Arabidopsis thaliana: one gene and its partners. The protein of the gene in region 2 interacts with the protein of the main gene of each other region in a pairwise test. Each region holds a gene or a part of one and is shown on either strand. Other genes may lie near its edges. The genes, in order: ICE1, FMA, SCRM2 and bHLH093.

Region 1 (4,991 bases), 1.1 Mb from region 2:
ACAAAAAAAAAGAAGTACCAAACGGCTTGGATCATCAAGAGGACATCACTAAAAACTAGAATCACGAGGACTTCATTACTACATGCATTATAATCATAGAAAAATTCAGAGAAGCTAAATTAAAACCCTATAAAAAAGGTTAGGTTTTTAAAAGATTCAAAGGACCTACCACTTTTACGTTTCTTCATCACATCCTCTACGTTCTCGTGACTCTCTCTTTCTATCTCTAACCGCCATTAACTATGTCTCCTCTCTATCTCTCTAAATCTTTCTTTTGTACGGATACATACAACGTATATAAAAGTTCTTAAAACATTAAGTAAGCATTTAAAGAAGAAAACAAACAAAATGGTAGGGTCTATTCTTTGCTCTGCCTCTTCCTTCACCATTCTTTTCTCTGTTTTTTCTTAAAAATCTCAATGTTTTTCTTCACTCTTACATCATCAAAGCTCATTTCATCAGCTAATACCAAAGCTATACCTTTAACATAACTGTTTTGTCTGTATATGTGCAAATGTTTTGTCTGTCTTCTTTGAGAAGTTCACTCATGAACAAAGATGAAGACTTTAAAAAAAATTCTTGAGCATAGCTTTAAGATGAAACATAAATGGAAGTTAACATTGCTAATAAAAGGTTGAAGTTATGTATCCAACAACAACAACCTCAAGTTCTCAAAAGCTTAATTTAAAAACAACTCTCATTTGCAATTGCATTACATGCTTAGATTGAAGTTATGACATAAGAAAAAAAGTTGAGAAGAAAATTGCAGATTTAAAGGGACTTAGTTCTTCTAGCTCTGCTTCAACAGATGCTTAATGGACTCGAAGTCAGGATCAGATCAGATCATACCAGCATACCCTGCTGTATCGAAAAGCACTGCTTTGATTTGATCAGGCAGTATCTCTTGTCCTTCTTGGCATTGCTGATAGACAAAAGAAAACATGTTACTACTAAAACTGTTCTACAAATCCTTAACCTTTCAACTGAGAGTAGAAGATCACCTCAGCGCGGAAAACATCCAAGGCAAACCCATTAAAACAGCTGATCACAGCTTGCTGAACATCCAATCCAAGATTATCCAAAGCTTTCATGGTAGCGAGCAACAGACCCGGTCTACGACCACAGAACATATGAATGTTCACTGCTCTTCCTTCCCTTAATCTAACCTCAACCTGTGAAAAAGAAGCAGAGTAATCTCTCAAACATGAATCTTTGTTTTCTTCTTTCCAGTCTAAGCAAAAGTTATACAGAATATAGTCCTTACTCTAGCTTGCTGGCCTTTAGGACTTGGTAAAGAAGAGGGACACAACTCTTCCTTGACACGACAAGAAAGAGTTTGCGGTGTAGGTGTCAACGGATGGAAGCTTGATGAAGTTGGAGGCAAAGATCCAGGAGGAGTTGACTCAAGTTCATTGTGAAGATCATTGATCCTTTGTAGAAGTTCCTTCAGATAATCAATTGCATCTCCAAGTATTGATGCTCTATCCATCTGCAAATTCATCGAAAATCCATAAAACACTATCACGAGCCTCTTCCTCAAAAGAGTAAAGCAACTACATGCAAAGTTTGACAACAACAAAGGCCCTACAAAGCTACAACACAACAATTCTCTATAACAGCAACAAGTAAACAAGCTCTTAAGGAGATAAAAGAGACAAAGTAAGTGTTTACTTTGCTGATCTTGGGGACAACTGATCTAAGCATATAAAGCCTATCATTAAGCTTCTTCCTCCTTCTCCTCTCAGCCATCAGATTCTTAGCAGGCATACCTTTCTTCTTACCCTTTCCTCCTCCTCCAATCTGAACACTCTCAGCCGCTTTACCGCTCTCATTTATCTCATCAGACTCATAGTTCAACCCAGAAACCTCAATCCCAGTCTCATCCATATCTCCATCATCACTAAACCTCCTCATTCCCGAACTCTCCGAATTTCCCATTTTGCTTCCAGAGCTCTGACGCATAGCTGCACGTTTCTGGAACAGAGTAGGCTGTGCACCAGACGATGCTAACACCTCTAAAGGCTTCAGAACTTTCGCTCTGTTCCCAACAAAACCACCATTAGCAGGACTACCAAAACCTTCCAACTCCAACGGAGCTGTGAAACCACCACACAACATTGTGTTGTTGTTGTTGCTTTCCGGCGCAAGAAGTGACCGAGCAGACAAGAAATCAGGAACAGAACTCAAATCCCTGTTCCCCAATTGTGTCAAAGAACCAAACCCCATCGAAATAGGAGCATGGATTTGGTTAAGAAAACCAGATTCAGAGCCAAACTCAAAAGCATTATCAAAAGGGTTTGCAGAAGAAGGAACATTGAGAAGACAACCCTTGTTGTTGTTAGTTGACAAGAACTGATTTTGCTGAGAAGGGTCAAGACTAAAAGCTTGAGAAGGAGAACAAGAAGAAGAAGAATCAATAGAGTGTTGAAGAAGAAGATTATCATTAGGGTTAAAAGGAAAACCACCAAAGTATCTGAAATCTGGCTGATTCTGTAACATCTGAAGATCTTGTGGATGTGGTTGGTTACTACTAAACCAATCACCTTCAAGCATAGGCTTAAACTGAGAAGAACCATCTTCTTGATTCCTTCCCCATGAACCTTCCTCGTTCTCTTCCCTTTCTCCACCACCACCGTTTAACCAAACCCCTCCACCATTGTTTCCGTCAAGACCCATCGCCAAAGTTGACACCTTTACCCCAAAGTCTGAACCTTTAGAGGAAAATTCTGCAAAGTTGAGACCTTTAACTGAAATTTGGAAGCTTGAAGACAATTCTGCAAAAGTTTGAAAACAAAAGATATATACTTTGAATATTCAGAGACTTGGAAAAGTAAAAAAAGAGAAGCATTAAAGTAGAATCACGAGGATTTCATGAATTGAAGAAGCGAAATCTGAAAAGGAAGATAGAGATAGAGAGAGAGAATGATAGATTCATTTCTCAGAGCTTTCAAAAATTGAAACTTTTTTTTTGATGGATTCAATTTCGGCCACCATGAAATTGCTTTATCATTGAACACATACCCCAGATTTCTCGTGACTCTCTTTGCTTTGCTTCGTTTACCGTATCTCTCTCTCTCTCACCGTCACTATTTCTCCATTTTTCTGCTTAATTTTGGCTTAAGCTTATCTCTCTGTCTCTGTTGTCACTGTCTCTGTCTTTATATAGACAGTGTTTAAGTAAGTTAATGATGATGATGATAATTTCAAAGTGTAATTAGCATCATTCATGCAACGCGTGTCTTCCATGCATTTCTTTAACTCATATTATTACCTAATTATTGTTATGTACTTAAAAGTTCTTTTTCAAAAGATGGTAATAAAATTTATTTTATATTCTTACTATTAAATATATTTCCTTTTATTTTTTGTATTTTTTTAAAAAATTATAAATAATTATGTTGTAACGCATATCTCGACTTTACCGGCGTCGACATCTTTTCGATGGTTCCTAAGCTTCTTGAACAAAGCCACATCAAGCTCAAGTTTGTAAGTAAATAGTTTAATTTCATAAGTCTTTTAAACATTAATTAAGTAAGGACGAGTAATTCCAAATTTTCTGATGATTGTAGCGTTTATCACCATTATCAACTAAATTGAGTTCCCAAAAAAATATAGTTGTGTTGCGATATGCTTTCTAGTCTTCTAGAGGAAGTAATTAGGGATTCATTTTCTAAAAAGTTTTGTTAGTTTCAATTGTGGCTTTGTGCCTTAAATTGGCTTTTTGCTTATATAGTTTTGGTTTATGCTTTATTATTAGAGAATTTGTTTTTCTACCGGCTAAGATTCCGGAGATTTAAACGTGTTCTCCGGCTATCTATCTTAGTTTCCTTCATTTAAAGGTTTTAATAAACATTGAATTTTTTTTTTTTTATGGGCTGTTTGTTGCAGTCCACCCATACTATATGGGTTCAATTAGGATCACTATGTAGTAGACCTCAGCCCAATTCATTATGTATTTTTTATCTTCTTTCTAATTTCATACAAACTATAAAATTCTACCTAAATAACCAATTTCCATTTATTTCTGTAGTTGTAATTTATAATCAATAATTCGCGTTTATTGTTTCGAAATTTGAGTAAATCTGAATTTAAGACTCGGTCAAACTTTTTAAGACTCGGCCAAGCTTTCAAAGTGTTTTTGACATGTTGTTGGGAAGGTTTTAAACTCGGATTTACTCTAATCGCGAAATAGTAAACATGAATTATTGATTTTAAATTGTAATTACATATAATAATTGAATTTGGTAAATTGGGTAGAATGTGGAATTAGATAGAACAAAAAGAGCAGAAGGTGAATTGGATAGAGGTCAAAAATATTGGTAATCCTAGTTAAACGCATATAATACATGTGGATTGGTACAAACAGCCATTTTTTATTTATGCATCAAGTACGGTAGTGCATTTTATCCGTTTCATGAATATTGATTTTGCAAATTTTCATTTCACACAGATTAAAAATTTATACTGCATTTTCTTTCTTTCTATCTACTTCTTTTTATTTACTGTAGCTATACATGATTTGATTTTCAATAATAAACACTTCCCAAGAATTATAATTCAATATTAGTTTTACTTTATTTTAAAGCTACTATAATACACATAGGAATCTTGAAGATTGATCTTTGATGAAATGGATGACGTATCTATTTCACCAGTTTCAATATATTGTTTCTTTGCAAATATATGAAAATAGTCTCTTTGTTTTCAATAAATCCAGCATGGCTTGAACAAAATAAACTTACTCATTAGAAATTTTTTAAAGATGAATATGAACAACTTAAAGCTTATTTTTAACTCCATCAAATTAAATGGTAATGGTTAGTGTGCAAGGAAAACTTATTTCCAAGTAGTCGATATATCCTTCATTTGGTAGCAATTTGGTGAATGTGCTGAATCAACTAGCAACTCAATGTTCTTCAAAATTTGGGGTAGAATCTTCGGAGTGCTCTTCAACTTCGATTTGAGAAATCATTATTATTTTTTGTTTCGAT
Region 2 (5,153 bases):
TCAGAAATCTAGATCAACTCTCTCCATTTTCAAAAGTAATTACAATGATTATCTTACCATTTAACACAATAATACGATTGACAAACACGAATCTTTTTTGCTTACCTTCGATGAATTAATATAAGCTATATAACAAAGGATCTTCAAGTCTTGGACGGATTTGGAATTGGAATTCTCTGGCCTTGGACTCTGTCAAGATCTTACCCCCGTACGAACCTACTTGGTGTGAGAAGAAAACCAAGCAGTGCTTTTGGAATTTATTGTGTATGTGTCGGATCTGACTTGGATTAGAGCTAATGGTGAATATATAAAGAAGATGAAGACAAGAGTTTCGTCTTTGTTGACGTACGAGAGAAAGATTAAAGACAATCATTTTGAGTCTCCTAAATGAATTTGTTTTTCTGAATTCTGACACTTAGTTTCTTTAGTCAAATCACTTTTGAAAAAGTGTAAAAGCGTCACTTTGTTTAACCGAATGGTCAATTTTTTGAAGATTAAAACTGGCTATTTCTAACCTTTTTTTTCTTCATGTTTTCTTGTTGTATATATATTGGCCCATTTCTCATAGACAAATCTCAAGAAAATGATAGTTCCTCTCCCTCCCCTCAAGAAAAGTTTTCATGCATTGTTTTTTTCTTTTCTTTTTTATTTTGTGAAAAAAGTTATTTCAAGTAAATAAGTGGTTTAGCATTCTAAACCGCTTGTTCAAAACCTACAAATCAAAGCAGCAGAAATCACAACAACGAGTTCTAACATTACAAGCGACACAATCATCACTAAAATTTAAATTGCATGAAAAAAGCCCCAAAAAAATAAAGTAAGCACTCCCTTTAACTTAAACACTCTTCCAAATGCTTGGAGAATAAAACCCAATATGTAGAGATTATTACGTACTGTAATCTTCACCAGTGTACAAAGTTGTCGCCGTGTGATGATTTTCAAGTAAACACAATATTTCCCAGGTTAGAGCTTCCAGATCTGAAATAAAATTGTTTCCAAGCTTTAACACTTCAAATATTGTGATAAATATGTTACAATATATATATATATATATATACACACCATATGTAACACACAAAGAAAATAACCATGATAGATTAGATACACCATATATATCTAACATTAAAAGCAAATAATCATAACATCTAAAAGGTAAAAGAACAAACAAAAGACAAAAGCTAGACATCTAAAATAGTAAAATGTATAACATCGAACCACCAATATCTTTTACTCTAAGACTTTTTACCAGACTCATATACTCACACACTCACAGAGTCACACACACACATAGTAATGATGTCTTGATGATTAGATAGACCACATTGCACACAAAAAGATATAATCATGACATCTAAAAGGTAAAAACAAACAAAACACAAAAGGCATGTGAAATGGATAACAATGAACCAACATAAACTTTTGTTTTAAGGGACCAACAGAAACTTATCAAAAGTATCTTTAATCGAAAGAATATTTAAATAGCAGAAAAATATATATCCTTACATGTTGGTATTTGCATGAATGAAACTAAATATCTGTTGGATGGAACTTGCTATGTCTTCTGCCGTAAACCTCGTTTCACTTGTTATCTGCACATATTTTACATCTACCTCATGTTAGCCATTGATAGTTATTACATATACTTTAACAATACAAATCCATAATCTATGATTATATTGAAAACCCTAAATAAAATTATAAATGTGTTTTATGACAGCTAATCCAGATTAGATAATTACATGTATTATTTGATGAGTCTAGATTTTGCATATGAAAGCTGAATATGAATGATGAATTACTTTTTAACATATAAACTTGCCTTGACATTAAAGGAGTAGAGGACGGTTTGTTCCATGGTAGTGATGTTAGTGTGAAGAATAGAGAGATGAAGATCCTCCAAAGCAGCTATAGTCTTAATCAGCTGTCCCGGCCTTCTTCTTGAAAGTATCTTGATCATGGCGTCAAACCCTAGCAGCTTCACCTCCACGTCAGCCAAGCACGACTTGTTCTCCGCAGTCTCCTCCCGAAGCCCTCCTCCGCCCTCTAGCTCGGTTACATTTCCCGTAATAATGAGCGGTTGTGCTTGGTTCGCTACCGTAGTTATGGGAGAAGAAGAAGAAGTCGTTGTCGTTGTCATGTCCCTACCGGTTTCTCCTAAGATTCTTCGACGCTTCTGTGATTCAAGACATTGTAGGAGTTGCTCGAGCTCTCTCACAAACTCTATTGCTCCTCCTATGATTGACGCTTGGTCTCCCTATTTTATACAATTAATATTTGGTGTAGACAGTATAATTAGTTGTACATATACATATAAAAAAACATTCACGAAAATTCTTTCTTTAAGATATAATTTATGAATATCATACCCTTTGAACGTAGGAGCCAGGCATGAGAGATCTAAGGACACGAAGATGCTCATTCATTTGCTTCCTACGGTTTCTTTCGACCGCGATATGAGTCATCCGTTGGCTTTCCACTTCTTCGCTGGTCTTGCTCGTTCTAGCTCTCTTCCTCTTGCTCTTCACCTCCTTTTTCGTAACATTCTTGTTCTCCCTATCTTCTTCTTCTCCTCCAATAAAACGTAGTTGCACGGAGTTGTTGTCGTTGTCATCGTCTTGATCTTCTTTTTCTTCAAGAAACACATTGCCTATGTTTCCTCCACACTCACCTCCTTCTTGAGACGTCTGATGAGAAGGCATGAGATGTTGGGTTTGGTTATGGTCCTCTATTTTGTCGTTCAAGACAGGGAACTTCAAGAAATAAACGGGGTCAATCCCGGTTTCTTGATCGTCTTGGTTTCTGGTCTGGTTCAACGCAAGTTTCGAACCGAAGTCCGCAAACTGCATCACATCAGAGAAGTTCATTTTATCAAAAGGTGTTGCTCCAAATCCGGAAGGAGAGAGTTGATGTTGCTGCTGTTGTGGCATCGATTGCTTTTGTTGTTGTTGAAGGTTTCTATTGAACATATAGTCTATCATACCAGAGCTGTTATCATCGTTACCGCCTGAGGATTCACCTAAGAAGTTTGGTGCCTAATAAAAACCAGAATTGGAGAATGAAGTTAATATCATAAGCAGGAAGATTTGAATCTTATACATAGATATCTATCAATTTGTATAAGAAAAGAGATTAAGGATCTTGAAATACTGGAAAAAAAAACGTACGTACCGAGTAATCTTTATCCATTGCTATTCGTGGTAGTTGATTATAAACTGCTTAAGTCTAATGAAGGTCAAGCTTCTTGACCTGATGACAACAATCCATGAGCTTCACAGTCAGTTTTAAAAACATATACATGAAACAAAAACACACGTAGAACAAGTTAAAACCAAACCTAGGCAGATTACATGTTTCACCATATACATATACATGTATTTTATATGTACAAAACAAGTTTTCAAATTGAATTTTGACAATTAAAAAAAATGATTAACACCAAATATATTAGAGCTTTGTTTAGTAAGGAGTTAACAAAATAAAAGGGACTGACCTTGTATGATTTGCTAGGGTTTACGAGAGATGTATATAAAAGACGCAAGACATGCAAGATAGTAGAAGAAGACGGATTAGAGAAGACAAAACTTAAAAAAGTGAGGGGAGCTTTTTGTATTGAGAAGTCATAAATGAGTAAGCATCACCAAGCTCCCATATTTATAGAGAGAGATACATTATACATGTGTACACAAGGTATAGCAAGGGGGCATTAAATTTCTTAAGTATGTATATTCGTAATCATTTGTTTCTCTAATTACTAATTAGGGTGTGAATGGTACACATTCGTGACCCAATAAAAACAAATTAAACGACTTAAAAAAAGATACGTAAACATGTTTCAAAAAAAAAAAAAACAATTTTCTAAAGAATAAAGATAAATGAAAATCTACATAAGTTAATCTAAAATATTGAGGATTAGTAGTAAGTAGTTTGATTGCAGTGGCTGTTTTATTCTACTATCATATTCCCATTAATTATCGAGACATCATTGTTTTTCGCAATTTTCTATGCATTCTCTTTTAGTTTCTAAAAGTAGAGAAATATCAACCATCACATAAAATGTTTTAGAAAATCTAAAAACTACAACCAAAAGATATCAATCGTGGGAAAAATGAATTTTCGTTACTATTGTCCTTTTTTATTGCTTTGTAAGAAAGAAAAAGGGATGTTATTATTGCCCTCTTATAATTGTTAGAGATACTTAATGCTTAGTAAAAAAAGCTTCCAATTGTAGCAGGATAAAGCCGTGCAGTCGGAAGTTCTCAATGTCTCCCCAAATGCTTTTGCAGAAAATCATGATTGGCTAATCAAAAGATGCTCATTCAATCAATCCCTTTGTATTATGCACATAATGTGTCAATATTAATTTTCATCCCATTTGATATATAAATATCATTACATATATAGTTATCTAGTTCTTCTCTATCTTCTACATAGAAACACATAACAATCCAAATTTTACGGTCAAATTTGAAATGGGGGATCTAGAGCAACTCCCTAGCTTATTTTGAACAAAAATTAAGTTCAATATTGACTCAAAAGAAAGATTATTGAATATTCCAAATCATATCTTGTTTTTGTAATAAATACTCTATTTCTTTTTGCGTTAGACGTAAGGGTGAGGAGCCACAAAATACGAAAAAAGAAGTAACGTGAAAACACACGTGTATCAGCTGATCACCTCTCTATCTATCTATCTTTTTTTTTTGTTTGTCAAACCATAAATGATAAGATTTGAGTTTTTAGAGTTCACAAGCCAAGGCCGCTCTTTTTCCACCGCTTTTCGTGAACTTAATCAAATCTCTATACGCTTCTCATCTTTTAGTTTATTTCTATAGTATTTCAAATTCAAGCACTTATATTAGTTATGTGTTGTCAATAAAATATGATTTCTAATAAAAATATTCTGGTCAAATATATGAAATTAGTTTCACGAACATGACCTATACTATTTGTGTGTGTACGTGGAGACATATACATTTAAAGAAAAAGACACTGGTGTGGATGGTTACGTTTTAACTTTTAACAAAAAGTGGAGTAAAAATTCACGTTGATCAATCCAGTGAACTTTTTCGGGAATAAGAGTCGCGGATCCATAGGAGTATTTTAGTAGGTGCATATTACACAAATACTATGTTGAAAAGAAAAAAAGAAACATG
Region 3 (4,803 bases), on a different chromosome or scaffold from region 2:
GAAACGAGAAGGCAGTGTTTGCACCATCATCACTACCAAACGATGTTGTAGAGGAAATCTTCTTACGACTTCCGGTGAAAGCAATAATCCAACTAAAGTCTCTCTCAAAACAATGGAGATCGACGATCGAGTCTCGCAGTTTTGAAGAGAGACACTTGAAGATCGTCGAGCGATCACGCGTGGATTTTCCACAGGTCATGGTCATGTCTGAAGAATATTCCTTGAAAGGAAGTAAAGGTAATCAGCCTCGTCCAGATACAGACATTGGTTTTAGTACAATCTGTTTGGAATCGGCTTCTATTCTGTCCTCCACTCTTATCACTTTCCCTCAAGGATTTCAACACCGGATCTATGCTTCTGAAAGCTGTGACGGACTTTTCTGCATCCATTCCCTAAAAACACAAGCCATATATGTAGTTAACCCGGCCACTCGGTGGTTTCGACAACTTCCTCCGGCTAGGTTTCAGATTTTGATGCAAAAGTTATACCCCACTCAAGACACTTGGATTGACATAAAACCAGTAGTCTGTTATACAGCATTCGTGAAGGCCAATGATTACAAATTAGTGTGGTTGTATAATTCTGATGCCTCGAATCCAAACCTGGGAGTTACAAAGTGCGAGGTTTTTGATTTTAGGGCAAACGCTTGGAGGTACTTGACTTGCACTCCAAGCTATCGGATATTCCCTGACCAAGTACCAGCAGCTACAAACGGGTCTATTTATTGGTTCACGGAACCATATAATGGCGAAATAAAAGTGGTAGCTCTCGATATTCACACTGAAACGTTTCGTGTGCTACCTAAGATTAATCCGGCCATTGCTAGTTCAGATCCTGACCATATCGACATGTGCACTTTGGATAATGGTTTGTGCATGTCGAAAAGAGAATCGGATACGTTGGTCCAAGAGATATGGAGGTTAAAATCATCAGAAGACTCATGGGAGAAGGTTTATACCATAGATTTGCTTTCTTGTTCTTCTTCTTCTTTATCTGAGTTCCGCGATGGATTTAATTGGACACGAAAAGATTTGGTTGAGCCATCCACACCAGTGGCGATATGCAAGGACAAGAAGATTCTGCTCTCACATCGCTATGCCCGCAATATGATCAAATACGATCCCCAAATAAAATCTATCAGTTTAATTTACCAACCTCCTTTGTGTAGAAGATATGCTTCTTATTTTCAGAGTTTGATCTCTCATATATAAAATGCTTTGATGTATTTGGAAGCATGTAATGTAAGAAACAAAGCATTAATTGTTTGGATTGTTATATTATCCGATAGCATGCTGTTATTCATAAATCATAATAAACCATACTTATTTCGCCAAATGACACTATACTTACCAAAAATCATACTACTTTATGAAATGATACAGATTTTTCAAAAAAATGAGGACGAGTATTTTCGTTAATCCACACAAAAATCAGTTTCATTCTGTGTGTGGATGTAAAAGGAAGATGAAATATAGATTTTATCTTAAAGGGACCATTGCCTCGTTGTTAAAAAAAAGGGACCATTGCATCCGACATCTTTTATCCGTATTAATCTTGAAATGTTTATTCAATATACTTTGTTGCAAGATTTTTTTTTATTCAATATACTTTTGTTATTCATGTCAAAAAAAATTTGATTAATAGCCAATCTATGTAACAATCTAAACACAAGTTTGCCGCTACAATTAATATGAGTCTATGACACACATCACAAAGTTTTGAGAGATTAAAATTCTTTAGTCCCAAATACTTCAAATATAGAAAAAAACTACAATTTTTCTTTTCAAAATTTGTTTATTTTACGGTGACAATTTTTATGATTGCCAACCAAATCCCACATTATTAAGTTTTTCAACCAAACTGAACTGTATACTTATTTTGATTATTAACGGTCGGATTTAGCTTTAACTAAATCATCTTCCTAAGCTCTATCACTGAAATAATTCTGCAGACAAAAAAAAATGAGAGAGAGGTGGCAAAGATGAAGTGGAGGTGAGAGACGGAAAGCAAAAACAATAGTCACGAGAATCAACACCAACTCTTAAACCAAGATAGACCAAGAAACCAAACAGAGTAAATAAATGGTGGCCTTGACAACATTGAAATCCCCAAAAATCTCAACTTTTTAGGGTTTTCGAGCTCTGAAATCTCTCTATCTTTCTTCTTCAGATTTCTCACTTTTTTCTTCTTCATAAGATCCTCGTGATTCCACTTTATAACGTACGCCTCCTTTCAAGAAAAATCTCTCTCTATATTATCTACGTTTCTCTCGCCTTGTCTCCTTTTGAGGTTCCATTTCTACTTCTCTCCAAAATTCGAAACTTTTCCCACTCTCTCTCTCTCTCTACTAGTTTGACATGAACAGCGACGGTGTTTGGCTTGACGGCTCCGGTGAATCTCCGGAAGTTAATAACGGTGAAGCTGCGTCTTGGGTCAGAAACCCAGATGAAGACTGGTTCAATAACCCACCACCACCACAACACACTAATCAAAACGACTTCAGATTCAATGGTGGCTTTCCTTTAAACCCCTCAGAGAATCTGCTTCTTCTTCTTCAGCAATCGATTGATTCTTCTTCTTCTTCTTCTCCGTTATTACATCCTTTCACACTCGACGCTGCTTCACAGCAACAACAACAACAACAACAACAACAGGAACAGTCTTTCTTAGCTACGAAAGCTTGTATAGTTTCTCTTCTCAACGTCCCAACCATCAATAACAACACTTTCGATGACTTCGGCTTTGACTCTGGTTTCTTAGGACAACAATTCCATGGAAATCATCAATCTCCGAACTCGATGAATTTCACTGGCTTAAACCACTCAGTACCGGATTTTCTTCCAGCTCCGGAAAACAGCTCAGGATCATGTGGATTGAGTCCTCTGTTCTCAAACAGAGCAAAGGTTTTAAAACCGTTACAGGTAATGGCTTCATCTGGCTCGCAGCCAACTCTGTTTCAGAAACGAGCTGCAATGCGTCAGAGCTCGAGTAGCAAAATGTGCAATTCTGAGAGTTCTTCTGAAATGAGGAAATCGAGCTACGAGAGAGAGATTGACGATACTAGTACCGGAATCATCGATATCTCTGGATTGAATTACGAATCTGATGACCATAATACTAATAACAACAAAGGTAAGAAGAAAGGAATGCCTGCAAAGAATCTTATGGCTGAGAGAAGAAGAAGGAAGAAGCTTAATGATAGGCTTTACATGCTTAGATCAGTTGTTCCCAAGATCAGCAAAGTAACCAAAAAGATTCTTCCTTTTTTCTCTTTGTTCTCCTTAATAACTTCTTGTGTCACTAATTTTGGGTTGCAAATGTAGATGGATAGAGCATCAATACTTGGAGATGCTATTGATTACCTCAAAGAGCTTTTACAAAGAATCAACGATCTTCACACCGAACTTGAATCTACTCCACCGAGTTCTTCAAGCTTGCATCCGTTAACACCGACTCCACAAACGCTGTCTTACCGTGTTAAGGAAGAGTTGTGTCCATCTTCCTCCTTGCCAAGTCCTAAAGGCCAACAACCAAGAGTAAGAATAAGCTCAATTGCTTTCTAGTGGACAAAGCTGTATTCTTTAATTTTCTTAGTAACGCTTCTTTGTTTTGATATAGGTTGAGGTTAGATTAAGAGAAGGAAAGGCAGTGAACATACACATGTTCTGTGGACGTAGACCAGGTCTTTTACTTTCCACCATGAGAGCTTTGGATAACTTAGGATTGGATGTTCAACAAGCGGTGATTAGCTGTTTCAATGGTTTTGCTTTGGATGTTTTCCGCGCTGAGGTAATATAGTTGTTAAGATGCTATGCTGATCACTGATTAGTAAAACTAGCAGTCAAAGAATAGTTATTTGAGAGAATGATTAGTATACAAGTAACAACATGTTTTGTGTTTCTAATCAGCAATGTCAAGAAGACCATGACGTGTTACCTGAACAAATCAAAGCAGTGCTTTTAGATACAGCAGGTTACGCTGGTTTGGTTTGATTGCGAAGCAGAAGGAAGCATCTGTGTGGAACAGAGCTAGATCTAAGTCCTTGTTCTGTTTTAGTCAGCAATTTTCTTACTTAGTTTCATCAATTTCAATCATGTATGGAAGATGATAACTGTTTTATTTTAGCTATGAGAACATGTGTTTGGGGAACAATAGTTGCAACCTTTGAGCAAAATGCCATTGTTTCTCAATAATTCTACTTTGCTTTTCATTTATATGTTGTTTGCAAGAAGAGAGCAATGTTGATTTTCATTGATAAAACACACATGAGTCTGTCATGAGAAAAGGCTAAACAAAATATTAAGAAATGCACAATTCATAGGCAAACGCTCTGATATATCAATTTTTCAGAACAGAGATGAATCTCTATGTAAAATTCATATTCTTTATAAATGTCTGAGCTTGGTTCAGTTTAGTAAGATTTGGTTTGTGCCGTGGGCGACTGAAGATGTTAAAGACAAAAACATAATGGAACCAGATAAACTTGGCTAATTGGTAAGAATTAAAAGAAAATCTATGGTATAAATCTTCTCCCATGTGTCTTCTGATGATTTCTTCAGCCTCCAAATATTTTGGATCAGCTTATCTCCTTCTCTTTTCGACATGCACAAAGCATTATCCAGAGTGTATATATGGCTAGGATCTAAACTAGCAATAGCGGGAACTATCTTTGGCAGCAACCGGAATTTTTCTGTAATGATATCGAAAACTATTACTTTGATTTCAGCATTATATAGCTCTGTGAACCAATAAAGCGTCCCGTTTACAGATGCTGGCTTTTGGGCATGGTATATTCGATAACTT
Region 4 (4,756 bases), on a different chromosome or scaffold from region 2:
TTTTTTTGGTTGTGATGTTACGCCACAAGCACAAATTCTGGGACCTTTATATTGTGTGTATAAATGATATTTGAATACAGAAATTAATATTTGTAGAGATTCATCAATGATATATTTGCTTTTGTTTTTTGTTCATCATTAAATCAAAGATCTTCGTTTAATAAAACTTGTGTTTCATATTTTTAAATAATTTATAATCCAGATATATTGTACTATATACACCCACACATGTATAATATGAATGTGAATGTTGAATTATAGATTGAAAGTGAGTGAACTGAAAGGACGAGAGAGGCCTAAGACAGTTTGTTTGTTTTCGTGAACATGGAGCTTCTCTTTACCATGTGCTCTCGATCTTTTTATTATTAATCTTACTTTTATTTACTTTTTTCACATTTTGTTTTTATACGGTTTTTTATATGAGAATGGCACTGAAGATGGAGCAAGAAGTTCACATGCAAACATAAAATATTACACATAAAAAAATTGAAAAGCTACATTCTAGGCATATGCGTGATTTTCCAAGGATTTTTGTTTCGTATAAATAATATTAGCAGTCAAAGTAGCTAGATTTGCTTCTATAAATATACTTTCAAATTTCACCCCTTTACTTTCAGATTTGTCAATTTACGCCCCGAAATGGTGCCCTTGATAGCAAACAATTATACAGTACTACTATGAGAACGAGAATATATCTTTAAAAATTCGAAAAGCTCCAATATTTTCGGTCATTAGTTCATAACTTCATCATATTCATAACAATTACCGCGAATAGCCCATCCAATTATTATAAAAATTTTGACTATGTAAAAGCGTTAATCAAAAGAATAAACGTCATATCAAACGTAAGACAAATGTGAACACATATGACAATTATTAATAGGCCTACACTTGAAAAAATGAGATTACTATTCACAAACATTACCTTGATTTAAGGGTCAAATTGAAATTAAAAAAAAAACAAGTGATGCTGAATATAAAATTAAGGCAAGATCTAGACGCAATTTAGTAGAATATGCGTACACAATAGATAATTACGTACGCCTGTGTATATACGATTAATTCCCTCTCAATAATAGTTCATCATTATTATGTAAAATATAATTATAAAAATATATATGGCAGACAGAAAAATAAAGAAAGCAAGAGGGGTAGACAAATGTTCATCCGTTTTCGTCGAGACATGAAATTTGTGGGATCAAAGCAATCCTGTAAGGAAAGGGAATTAATCAATGTATATTACTCTCTTTTTGTTTGTTTCTCAATTAGATGAATACATTTTTCATTTATATAATAACTAAGACCTAAACTCTTGAGTCCATTACTCCATTTCCCCTTTGTTTTTTTCCAACACTTCGAAACACAGATGTGCTAGATTATATATGATCACCTAATGCATGATTTATATATAATATATGAAAAAGTAATATAAAATAGCCAGAAATTTAATCTTGTTATGAAAAATTGAAAATGATTCGAGTAAACACCTAGATGGTCATTTTAGACTGATATAGTAATATCTCAATGTATCATGGTATTTTTTTCGATGGACGAATCTGTCTACATACAATGCACGTATACATGGATGTTAGAAACCGCAACCTCTAGAACTATATGACACACGAATTGCAGAACTTCTAAAAGTTTTACTGCAGTAAAATATCAATCATTAAACCAAAAAGTCTCCTATAAAAGAAATTTGATTATTGATTATATGATTTTGAGTGAAACTTTCTTAGCAGTTAGCAGTACCTTTTCTTTTTTCGTAGGCTAAACTTACCAAAATAAAAACTACATCGGTTCATGTCAAGTCTTGTAATATATAGCTAATCTAGTACTAGCTATAGGCTACAGCAAACAAAAATGTTTTTATTATTTGTCACGAGAAAACAATAAAATGTGTTATCAAACTAAATAAAAACCATATATTATACTAATCACAAATTAAACGGGAATCTTTTATTTAATTAATAGTATACTCTCTCACACAGACAGACATCTCTGGATTTATATATAAATACAGTTCATCTTCTTTAATCCACAAACTCACACACACACACACACACTCTGTTTTCTTCGTCCATTCTATTACCAGAAAACAGAGTTTGATAGAGAGAAAAGAATGGAACTGTCGACTCAAATGAATGTGTTCGAAGAGCTTCTTGTTCCGACAAAGCAAGAAACAACCGACAACAACATCAACAATCTGAGCTTTAATGGCGGATTTGATCATCATCATCATCAATTCTTCCCAAATGGATATAATATTGATTACCTCTGTTTCAACAATGAAGAAGAAGACGAAAATACCCTTTTGTATCCTTCTTCTTTCATGGATCTAATCTCTCAACCTCCTCCATTGCTTCTTCACCAACCGCCACCGTTACAACCACTGTCGCCGCCGTTATCCTCCTCCGCGACCGCCGGAGCAACATTTGACTACCCTTTTCTTGAGGCTTTGCAAGAGATAATTGACTCTTCTTCCTCATCGCCTCCATTGATCCTTCAAAATGGTCAAGAAGAGAACTTTAATAATCCGATGTCGTATCCCTCTCCATTGATGGAGTCTGATCAGAGCAAGAGCTTCAGTGTTGGTTACTGTGGAGGAGAGACGAACAAGAAGAAGAGCAAAAAGCTTGAAGGCCAACCTTCTAAGAATCTCATGGCGGAGAGACGACGGAGAAAACGACTTAACGATCGTCTTTCTATGCTCCGATCCATCGTCCCAAAAATCAGTAAGGTAAATTACAAAATGCTAATCTTTTTTTTCTTTCAAACCATTAATAATAATTGTAGTCAAAATCAGCAAAAGATTTGATCATTTTTTTAATGAGTAGGTTAATGACTGTATTATTATATGTGTTCATAAAGAAAATGACCTTTTTAATCTTCTTGATTTACCTCAAAATCTAACCCTAGCTAAGGTTTTTGTGTTCTTTGAAGATTTATTTAACATTTAATTCAAAAAATTGGTCTCAGGAAAATCAACAAAAGATTCGTCCTTTTAAATGAGTGAATTAGTTATAAAATTGGTTTCAAATTCAGCCTTTTGTATTTTAACATTATGTGTTTGTTTCTTCTTTTTTGAAACCTTAGTTTTCTTCTTCAAGATTGTTTAATTATTGTGTTCTTACTTTTAAGGGAATCTACAGAACCGGCTGAAAAGTGATAAATCATTTAAAAGTGTTTTAAAATAATGATTATTGGTATGTTCAAAAAAATCAGATGGACAGGACATCGATATTAGGAGATGCCATAGATTACATGAAAGAGCTTTTAGACAAAATCAACAAATTACAAGATGAGGAACAAGAACTTGGAAATAGCAACAATTCACATCACTCTAAGCTCTTCGGTGATCTCAAGGATCTTAATGCGAACGAACCTCTGGTCAGAAACTCACCAAAGGTACAAAGATATTTTACATTGCTCTTGTTTTTTTCCTTCTACATATTAGCCCTTGTATTTATGAATTGTTATAAACAAACCCCCTGTCTTTTTAACAAATCTTTTTGTAATTCTGTTTATGTTTTGCATAGTTTGAAATAGATCGTAGAGACGAGGATACTCGAGTTGATATATGCTGCTCGCCAAAACCGGGATTGCTACTATCTACTGTGAATACATTAGAGACTCTAGGCTTGGAGATTGAACAATGTGTTATAAGCTGCTTTAGTGATTTCTCTTTGCAGGCTTCTTGTTCTGAGGTATCGATTTAATATAAAGTATTTATGCATGGAATGTTAATTATATAGTATTCGTAATGATAATATTGATGAGTTTTGTTGTATATATGTTTATAGGGAGCTGAGCAGAGAGATTTCATAACATCAGAAGATATAAAACAAGCATTATTCAGAAACGCAGGTTATGGTGGAAGCTGCTTGTAATGAGTCATGATTGAAACTAATAAACCAAAACTATTGTTTATTTCTAATAATACTAGCGCTTATAAACTTTAGATGTTGTTTTAATTCCCTTGTGAGTTTGGTTTTTTTTTCCTAGGGGAAAACATTATGAGTTCAGTTGTATAAACAAAAGAAGGAAATTTAAAAAGAGATGTTTCTCCTAAATTATATCAAAGAACAAATTGAGATATAAAATAAAAGGTTATATTATGTTGCTTTGAGGGAAATAAACCACTTCGATAATTGAAATTAGGGTTCGTATATGACAGTGACCGATGTTCGAAGGATGCATCATCAAATAAAAAAGCTGTATTAATCAAAAAGTTATAAAGGCTAATCATAAGCGTGATTATAATGTTAATGACTGTGCCTCCACCAATCAACGCATTCATCATTACTGCGGCACTTACGTCAACGAATTAATCTTTTATCGATAAAATTCCAAGAGGCCCTAACTTAGGCTTAATCAATTATTGGGCCTATAAAGAACGGCAACTGATGTAGATCCAAATGGGCTTTATTTAGTAAGCCCAAACTTTATGTTTTCTCTTATATCTTCCTGCTCTGTTATTAGAAAGAATCTCCGATTTAGATAGAAACAACAATCCTCCGGTGGTCACTCGCTAATCTCCGTTTGATCTCGCCGACACTCGAGCCTTTTACCGATGAAGGATGGAGATTCCTTACCAATAAGCACTTCTTCCGTCGCGGCGACGACGGTGACCGGAAAGAAGGAAACCGGTTATTCCGCTCTCTTCTCGAAAGGCCGGTACAAGTTTTGGGCCTTAGCTGCGATTCTGTTACTCGCTTTCTGGTCAATGCTCACTGGCACGGTCAATCTCCGTTGG

Evidence for each region.
Region 1: the proteins of FMA (region 2) and ICE1 interact in a two-hybrid assay, tested with the Arabidopsis thaliana proteins (one study listed by BioGRID).
Region 3: the proteins of FMA (region 2) and SCRM2 interact in a two-hybrid assay, tested with the Arabidopsis thaliana proteins (one study listed by BioGRID).
Region 4: the proteins of FMA (region 2) and bHLH093 interact in a protein complementation assay, tested with the Arabidopsis thaliana proteins (2 studies listed by BioGRID).

What each region holds. Positions count from the first base shown.
Region 1 is NC_003074.8:9,832,115-9,837,105, forward strand, and holds ICE1 (basic helix-loop-helix (bHLH) DNA-binding superfamily protein), read right to left. Parts: upstream 3,159-4,991; 5' UTR 3,022-3,158; exon of another isoform or gene 2,775-3,021; 5' UTR 2,677-2,774; coding exon 1,672-2,676; coding exon of another isoform or gene 1,585-1,671; exon of another isoform or gene 1,490-1,584; coding exon 1,265-1,489; intron 1,173-1,264; coding exon 1,002-1,172; coding exon of another isoform or gene 972-1,001; exon of another isoform or gene 923-971; coding exon 839-922; 3' UTR 553-838; downstream 1-552.
Region 2 is NC_003074.8:8,714,587-8,719,739, forward strand, and holds FMA (basic helix-loop-helix (bHLH) DNA-binding superfamily protein), read right to left. Parts: upstream 3,626-5,153; 5' UTR 3,491-3,625; intron 3,247-3,490; 5' UTR 3,187-3,246; coding exon 3,169-3,186; intron 3,033-3,168; coding exon 2,367-3,032; intron 2,255-2,366; coding exon 1,820-2,254; intron 1,590-1,819; coding exon 1,504-1,589; coding exon of another isoform or gene 1,500-1,503; exon of another isoform or gene 979-1,499; coding exon 939-978; 3' UTR 532-938; downstream 1-531. UniProt on the Arabidopsis thaliana protein: Transcription activator. Together with MYB88 and MYB124, ensures that stomata contain just two guard cells (GCs) by enforcing a single symmetric precursor cell division before stomatal maturity. Together with SPCH and MUTE, regulates the stomata formation.
Region 3 is NC_003070.9:4,382,401-4,387,203, forward strand, and holds SCRM2 (basic helix-loop-helix (bHLH) DNA-binding superfamily protein), read left to right. Parts: upstream 1-1,903; 5' UTR 1,904-2,357; coding exon 2,358-3,242; coding exon of another isoform or gene 3,243-3,323; coding exon 3,324-3,536; intron 3,537-3,618; coding exon 3,619-3,789; coding exon of another isoform or gene 3,790-3,798; exon of another isoform or gene 3,799-3,908; coding exon 3,909-3,992; 3' UTR 3,993-4,251; downstream 4,252-4,803. Other genes in the region: AT1G12855 (F-box family protein), read left to right, coding at 1-1,211; AT1G12870 (F-box and associated interaction domains-containing protein), read right to left, coding at 4,729-4,803. UniProt on the Arabidopsis thaliana protein: Mediates stomatal differentiation in the epidermis probably by controlling successive roles of SPCH, MUTE, and FAMA. Functions as a dimer with SPCH during stomatal initiation.
Region 4 is NC_003076.8:26,235,015-26,239,770, forward strand, and holds bHLH093 (beta HLH protein 93), read left to right. Parts: upstream 1-1,949; 5' UTR 1,950-2,122; coding exon 2,123-2,740; intron 2,741-3,225; coding exon 3,226-3,408; intron 3,409-3,539; coding exon 3,540-3,707; intron 3,708-3,803; coding exon 3,804-3,890; 3' UTR 3,891-4,205; downstream 4,206-4,756. Other genes in the region: AT5G65650 (sugar transporter, putative (DUF1195)), read left to right, coding at 4,574-4,756. UniProt on the Arabidopsis thaliana protein: Transcription factor. May be involved in the differentiation of stomatal guard cells.